Linked DNA regions of Bombyx mori. The protein of the gene in region 2 purifies or fractionates together with the protein of the main gene of each other region. This does not show direct contact. Links are inferred from orthologs where the notes say so. Each region holds a gene or a part of one and is shown on either strand. Other genes may lie near its edges.

Region 1 (4,212 bases), on a different chromosome or scaffold from region 2:
GCCACCACTATAACCATTAAGTCTATGACCAAAAAACACACACGCACTCAAGTTATATAGACTTATTGACAGATATGGAATTTTGATTTAATTTTTCTGCGGTTGATACAATTCAGAATTATAAAACCAATACTGTGTAATTACTTGACCCGGTGATAACTGTGGTGTTTCAATATACATAGAATCCAAATGACATGCAGTGTTTCTATTATTCCGAAACACTCAAAGAATTTTTAAAAGCACACGACTTATCATATAACTCATTTCCAGATTTAAAAAAAAATCTAGGTCCCAAAAATAAGTTCTAAACACAGTTAAATACGGTGCAAGCTTAAATGGCTTGTGTGCCCGGTCATCGTTCTCGTCGAACCCGTTGCTTGCGACGAAGGGCTTGACGAGTAAATAAACCCACAGACACAGCCCACTGAGTTTCTCGCCGGATCTTCTGAGTGGGTCGCGTTTCCGATCCGGTGGTAGATTCTCCGAAGCACTGCTCTTACTAGGGTTCGTGTTAGCAATGTCGTCAGTTTTGAGCCCCGTGAGTTCACCTACTAGTTAAGGTTCCGCTGATATAGCCTCTCAAGAGTCTCAGTTTAGGAACGAAAAAAAAAGTCTTGTGTACATATTTATTACTCACTTATCAATTGATGTTTAGCCTCGTAAGTAACACGCAGCGTGGTCTGCTGTACGCCCTTCCATTCGCACCACCGTAGCTCTGCCTCTTCGCCTTTGTTGTGTTCTCTCTCCCACATCTAGGTGAAGCATAAACAAAATTATAATACAATTTTATTTCACTACGGAAACAGCCACGCCTCTATGGAAACTTTGTTAGCTTGCCTAAAGATAAATTAACAGTAACATAATATGTACAAAAACGGTGCGCGTGCAACTTGGTGCACGTGAATGAAGTGTAACTACTATTTCGATGTGTAGTATTGTAGTTTTCTTCGTTTTTCATCCTTAAATCAGATTGCTCTTGTAACAGGGAATGTTGTGTATAAGAGATGCGTCATCTTCAACATTTATATTATATATATTTTAAATTATAGATAGAAAAATATATATATATATATTTTTGAATACTTCAGTAAAATATTGGACGCTGCTCGTTACTAACGCTCTCGCTGGCCTGTAAATAGGTCATACTACGCGCATGCGCTCGAGTGGCACGCCTTCACTCTCGCGCTGTCTCTTTCTATTCCATGGCAGCGTTAAATGTTTAACGCAACCTTGTTGGAAGTCGCATTAGAAGTCTCACTTCAAAAATAGACTTCCACACATCACGTTTGTGACGTAAGTTGTTAGTACATAATATACGCATGAATCGATAAACACAAAAAATATATATAATATATAAATATATGAAGTACCTGGAATGCATTCAACATGGCCACGTGGTCGGAGGCCCGGTCTCCGCCCAGGGCTCTCTGGTGCATCGACAGTCTCCTCCGGCCTTCGAGCACGAATATTTCCGGGAACGTTGTAGAATTAGCCGCCATCGTGGTCAGGGCGTCTCCAACGCCAAGCACAAAGCCTAACACCATCATTTTGCCGAGGCGAGGTTCTGAAATGGAGCATGTCATTACTGGTGGTAGGAACTCTTGTGAGTCCACGCGGGTAGGTACCACCATCCTGCTTATTTCTGCCTTGAAGCAGTAATGCGTTTCGGTTTGAAGGGTGGGGCGACCGTTGTAACTTTACTTGAGACCTTAGAACTTTTAACTCAAGGTGGGCTGTAAGCTCGTCCACCCATATCTATATATATAAAAATGAATTGCTGTTCGTTGTTTCGCTAAAACTCGAGAGCGGCTGGACCGATTTGGCTAATTTTGGTCTTGAATTATTTGTGGAAGTCCAGACAAGTTTTAAAAGGTAGATAAATATGAAAATGCTCAGAATTAAATGAAAATAATAATTTTGTTTTTCCTTTGATGTGTCCCCCGTCGGACAGATTCCTTTTGTTTGTTTTAATTTTATTTTATACAAAAATTTAGGTCTTTTATTTATCGATTGAGGCACTACGAAGTCTGCCGGGTCAGCTAGTATTATGATATCTTTATTCTTACATATCCGTAACGCAAAGAGGTTTATACATTTATCAGAAGCACGGTGACTAGACCGAAAGCGCAGTCGTCCATGGACATCAACAATAGCAGGGCTACAAAAGCCTCGTCGTCCCTCTCTTCATCTCCGGAGTAGTCGGAGTCCTATATAACCCGGTTCGTTACCCCCCCCCCCCGTACCGGGTATTCGTAAATGGATTCCCCAGTGTTAAAAAAAAAGGGTGCGTGTACGCGCGTAAGAAGTTATACTTTATTTTTATTACATTTATTTCTTTTTTTTTATTTAAATTTTAATCCATTTGAAAAACAAAAAAACGATTAAACAACATCCTCAAACACGCATATTGGACATCCCTTTTGTTGACATCGTATAAATTCGGTAATTCTCGGTACGGTTCGGAAAGTTCACCTGCGGCTATATTCAGACTCGCCAAGTTACGTCGGTGGTATTGTAATTAGCGTAATGTAAAATTTCACTCTCATCAATTTTTCATAACGCGCCTAAAGAAGTATTACTTAAAAAAAAAAAGGGCTACAAAAGCCGCAGTCACCTATCGGCAGCTTGGCGAGGATGGTCCCGAGTGGCGTGAGCGCGTCCTCGGCGTCCAGACAGCCCAGCTCGCGGAGCAGAGCCTCCGCCTCGATGACAGCGTCCAGCGGCGGGGGCTCCGGGGCCTTCGACAGGAAGTGACCGATCGCACCCAGGCGGAGGAGCTTTATGCTGTCAATTAAAATTCACACATTAAACAAACAAATTATAGAGCACCAGTGGTAGGATCTCTTGTGAGTCCGCGCGGCCCTGCCCATTTCTGCCATGAGGCAATAACGCGTTTCGGTTTGAAGAGCGCGGCAGCCGTTGTAACTATACTGAGATCTTAAAAGTCATATCTCAAGCTGGGTGGCGCATTCATGTTCTGGAGCTTAGACCATCAGCTTAGGTAGAAAAAAAAGTTTTTTTTTTTACTTTTTTATTACTTAGATGGGTGGACGAGCACACAGCCCACCTGGTGTTAAGTGGTTACTGAAGCCCATAGACATATACAAAGTAAATGCCGCCATCCACCTTGAGATATGAGTTCTAAGTTCCCAGTATAGCTACAACGGCTGCCCCACCCTTCAAACCGAATCGCATTACTGCTTCATAGCAGAAATAGGCGGGGTGGTGGTACCTACCCATGCGGTCTCACAAGAGGTCCTACCACCAGTAGTAGACCTAGACCTTGGCTTAAGAAAACTACCTTTAATAGTTGCAAAAGAGCTATCTTCCATAATAGGTGTATCTAATGTCCTAGGTCCTACCACCAGTAATTACGCAATTTATAATTTTCCGGGTTTGATTTTTATTACACGATGTTATTCCTTCACCATGGAAGTCAATCGTGAACATTTGTTAAGTACGTATTTTATTAGAAAAATTGACACCCGCCTGCGGGACTCGAACACCGTTGCATCGCTACATACGATTGCACCGGACGTCTTATCCTTTAGGCCACGACAACTTCAGAACTTGAGACAGCTGTAGGCAGCGGCTTGGCTCTGCCCCTGTCATTGCTGAAGTCTATGGGCGACGGTAACCACTCACCATCAGGTGGGCCGTATGCTCGTCTGCCTACAAGGGCAATAAAAAAATAAAAAAGACTACCTCAAAGCAAGCTCGTGTAGCGGAGTCCTAAACATTTCGGCGGCCAAATGTTCCTCAAGTTTCTCGTAGCGCGCGTACGTGCACAGCGTGAAGCACACGCCGGGCCGCACGCGCCCCGCACGCCCCTTGCGCTGTAACAAATAATATCATATTACCTTCATTTATTTTTTAAGACATTAATTTTTTTATTTATACACGGACCATTTGTTGCTCAGAGATCACCGGGGTCCATAGAGATTACCGCCATCAACCTTGAAACTGAAGAATGAAGTCTCAATAGCATTGTATAGTAACCGTTGCACCTTCCACAGCGGGGTGAATGACTACTTCGGGACATAAAGAAACGGGCGGCAGTATGTATCTGTTTATTTATTTTTTTCGAGTACTCCCATTCGAGTGCTCCTATCTAATATGTCATGTTTTCATTTAGGATCCACTAAAGTCCGCTTTGGCGTGCGACCTTTGACTTGACTTTGATCCGATCGCTTTTCGGTACATTACATTACC
Region 2 (4,221 bases):
GGGTTAAATTATTGGAGTTTTAGTAAGGATACCCAATTTTTTTTTAAAAAAGGTTATAGTCTACGTCACTCGGGAATAGTGAAGCTTCCAAACAGTGAAAGAATTTTTCCAATCGGCTTAGTAGTTTCGGAGCCTATTTAATACAAACTAACAAAACTTTCCTCTTTATAATATTAGTACAGATATTAATTATTACAAATAATAAAAACGCTGACTTAGGTGGCGGTTTTTATTTGAACCAGTTCTAAATTATAAACTAAAATTCTATGAAAAATTACCCATATTTATCTATAATACGAAATGATATTAATTTGTTTTTCGTAGTTTCCTTCCTTCTTGCGTCGATAATCCTCAGTGCTGAGGGTCGCGGCCTCCTCTAATAACTTTCTCCTGCATCATCTTGCGCCATTCCTGCCTGTCCTCGGCTGTATGGATAGCAACGTGGACTGAAGTTTTGAGAGTGGAGCGTATTTGGTCCGACCAGCGCATTGGATTTCTGCCTCTGTGCCCTCTCCCGCATACCTTGCCTGTTACCAGCAACTTTTCCAGATTCTCACCTCTCTTTCTGGCGATATGTCCAAAGATCTCTAAACTCCTCCGCGCGCATGTAGTGCGGAGGCGCATTGGAATCTTGAGCTCGGTAAGAATGGATTCGTTGGTTCTGTGTTCTGTCCAACGAATCCCGAGCATTTTCCTCCAGCACCACATCTCAAACGCGTCGATGCGTTGGCGGTCGGCTTTCTTGAGGGTCCAAGTCTCTGCGCCGTAGAAAAAAATGCCACCCAAGCACAGTCCATTTGGAACATAGCCCTCTTTGCCATACTGATTCGCCTTCTGAGGTCCTTTTCGGAGGTTCCATTACTAGCTATGACGGAGCCCAGATAAATGAAATCCTCTACGTCTTCCAGGTTTAGCTTATTCGTAGTTTAATAAGTTATTATTGTTAGTAGTATTATTTACTAGTCGAAATATAAATTTTTAATTATCTTATGATGAGAATCTTATATTAATGAGAAAGATATTCAACAAAAATAGTTTCGTTCTAATAAATTAGCATAGTAATAGTACAGTGAACTAGCAATTTATTTTGGTAATTCTGAATTTAAACAAACATATTGATGAGAAGAATTCATTTTTACTTTGCAAATTTGTAAATACACGCTCTGTAGCAATGTACGGACATATAATAATATGAAGAAACAATAATAGCATCTACAAATATATATGTACTACGTGGTACTACATTTAATAAAATTAATACAACATTTATTAATTAAATTAATGAAATTGTGGTTTTAAAGTTTTAGGGGTGTATAAAAAATGGGGGGCGCTGAAAAATAATTGATATTCAAAGGGGGCGGTAAAAGAAATAAGTTTGATAATCACTGCTCTAAGTATTTCATTTTTAAATACTCATAAAATGGGTCATTTCAAAAAATAATATGACATGAAAAAAATCATATAAAAGACATATTATTCACGTGCTCACGTGAAAATAAAAACTATGATTGCATTATAGCTGTTCGCCTGTGTTCTTCTTTTTACTTTACACAAATAAAATTTCAAATTAATCAAAAATCAAATTGCAAATTTAATTCTCGTAAACTGTTGAGTGGCGAAAAAGCCAAGTGGCACGTCATATTTAACTGTCAAACATAACAAAAAAAGTTTGGATTGACGCCAAAAAAGCCGAAGCCGCCATTATTGTGAAATCGTATTGTAAAAATAAATTTCACGTGCTCACAGTGAGTACGATACAGTAAACAAGCTAATTAAACTAAAGTAAATCATGGCTGACAACGACGATCTTCTCGACTACGAAGATGAAGAACAAGCAGATCAACAGACTGCTGACGGGTCTACCGAAGTGGCGCCAAAGAAGGAGGTTAAAGGATCCTACGTATCCATCCACAGTTCTGGTTTTAGAGACTTCTTACTTAAGCCAGAGATACTCCGCGCTATTGTTGATTGCGGTTTTGAGCATCCTTCCGAAGTTCAACACGAATGCATTCCGCAAGCCGTCCTCGGTATGGACATACTTTGCCAAGCCAAGTCCGGTATGGGTAAGACAGCCGTGTTTGTTTTGGCAACATTGCAGCAGCTGGAACCCTCCGAGAGCCACGTTTACGTGCTTGTAATGTGCCACACCAGAGAGTTGGCTTTCCAAATAAGTAAGGAGTACGAGCGTTTCTCGAAATATATGTCAGGAGTCAGAGTATCAGTATTCTTTGGTGGTATGCCAATTCAGAAAGACGAGGAAGTCCTTAAGACAGCATGTCCTCACATTGTAGTGGGAACTCCCGGTAGAATTTTGGCATTAGTAAACAGTAAGAAACTTAATTTGAAACATTTAAAACACTTCATCCTTGATGAGTGTGATAAGATGCTGGAATCTCTAGACATGAGGCGAGATGTGCAGGAGATATTCCGGAACACTCCTCACGGGAAACAGGTGATGATGTTCTCAGCCACATTGAGTAAAGAAATCAGACCTGTGTGTAAGAAATTTATGCAAGACCCAATGGAAGTTTATGTAGATGATGAAGCCAAACTCAAGCTACATGGACTGCAGCAACATTATGTGAAACTAAAAGAAAATGAGAAGAATAAAAAACTCTTCGAACTACTTGATGTATTGGAGTTCAATCAGGTGGTTATTTTTGTGAAATCAGTACAGCGCTGCATAGCTCTGGCACAACTGCTCACCGACCAAAACTTCCCTGCCATTGGTATCCACAGAAATATGACCCAGGATGAGCGTCTCTCCCGCTATCAACAGTTCAAGGACTTCCAAAAAAGGATCCTGGTTGCAACAAATTTGTTTGGCCGGGGAATGGACATTGAAAGGGTAAATATTGTCTTCAACTATGACATGCCTGAAGATTCAGATACATATCTACATCGTGTCGCCCGCGCAGGAAGGTTTGGTACCAAAGGTCTGGCCATTACTATGATATCTGATGAAAATGATGCCAAGATCTTAAACCAAGTACAAGATCGTTTCGATGTGAACATTACAGAGCTGCCTGAAGAAATTGAGCTCTCTACCTACATCGAAGGACGATAGATTAAGTTTCATTCCCATACCTATTTACTGCTGTGGCTCATTTTGTTGGTAATTAGACTGGCCTGCTTTAACATTGATTTGTAATACATTGAGCCACATTTACTGTTTAACTAGGTTTATCTAATTAAAGTGACATTTCATATTGTGATATCTGAGTGTTTTATTTCTTTACCAACAATTTGGGAGCTTTCATCGTTATCAGTAAGACAGGCTGTGATATGTTTAACTTTAGAATGTAGACAGGAAATTGATATATTTATTTTGACCATGTTCATATTAATGTAACAAAATATCCATTTTGAACATATCATTTTGTCTTTATGACTTCATATTTTTATATTCTTAGACATGCAAAATTTACTGATATTGGATGTTAATACTTCACACAAATACTACTGGATGCATTTGGATAAAATTTCATGCCTAAAAACTTCAGAATAAAACAAGCCATAATTTAATTTAGAGTACCTACGTACAGTGTGAGAGGTGGGGTGCAAGTAGTTTCAAGAAATTACTGTTTTTAGAGCCTTGCTATAGGATAATTATACAGGAACGCGACCAGTTTTAACTGAAAAGTACAGAAGGCCCATGTCCAGTAACTGGTATCCACTACAAAATCAAAATCTATAATTGTCTGCCTACACTATATTGATTTAATTAAACTAAATTAGAAACACGTCCAAAGATTTTTTTATTATATAAACTGGCATTTTAATCTATGTTCACAAAAGACGAAAAAGCGATAATGCTAAAAACATACTTTATTTTAGCACCATTTGCATACAAAATAAATATTTAAATTAAGCTTATAGTCCTGCATTTAATTTTTTTTACTGGTGGTAGGACCTCTTGTGAGTCCGCGCGGGTAGATACCACCACCCTGCTTATTTCTGCCGTGAAGCAGTAATGCGTTTCGGTTTGAAGAGTGGAGCAGCCGTTGTAACTATACTTGAGACCTTAGAACTATATCTCAAGGTGGGTGGCGCATTTACGTTGTAGATGTCTATGGGCTTCAGTAACCACTTAACACCAGGTGGGCTGTGAGCTCGTCCACCCATCTAAGCAATATTTTTTTTTATTAAAATATTAATAAACACCAATTATCAATTTCATCTTTATTGCTCTTTATTCCTTAATGAATAACTGGAATTTTT

Evidence for each region.
Region 1: the proteins of ATP-dependent RNA helicase WM6 (region 2) and MLE purify together in Homo sapiens (affinity purification with mass spectrometry, with the first as the bait; 3 studies listed by BioGRID). This does not show direct contact. The link is inferred for Bombyx mori from reciprocal best matches to the Homo sapiens genes DDX39B and DHX9.

The regions. Positions count from the first base shown.
Region 1 is NC_085132.1:4,397,649-4,401,860, reverse strand, and holds part of MLE (MLE protein), read right to left. Parts: intron 3,837-4,212; coding exon 3,706-3,836; intron 2,785-3,705; coding exon 2,615-2,784; intron 1,565-2,614; coding exon 1,371-1,564; intron 753-1,370; coding exon 638-752; intron 1-637. UniProt on the Homo sapiens protein: Multifunctional ATP-dependent nucleic acid helicase that unwinds DNA and RNA in a 3' to 5' direction and that plays important roles in many processes, such as DNA replication, transcriptional activation, post-transcriptional RNA regulation, mRNA translation and RNA-mediated gene silencing.
Region 2 is NC_085122.1:1,017,898-1,022,118, forward strand, and holds ATP-dependent RNA helicase WM6, read left to right. Parts: upstream 1-1,397; 5' UTR 1,398-1,789; coding exon 1,790-3,067; 3' UTR 3,068-3,217; downstream 3,218-4,221. UniProt on the Homo sapiens protein: Involved in nuclear export of spliced and unspliced mRNA. Component of the TREX complex which is thought to couple mRNA transcription, processing and nuclear export, and specifically associates with spliced mRNA and not with unspliced pre-mRNA.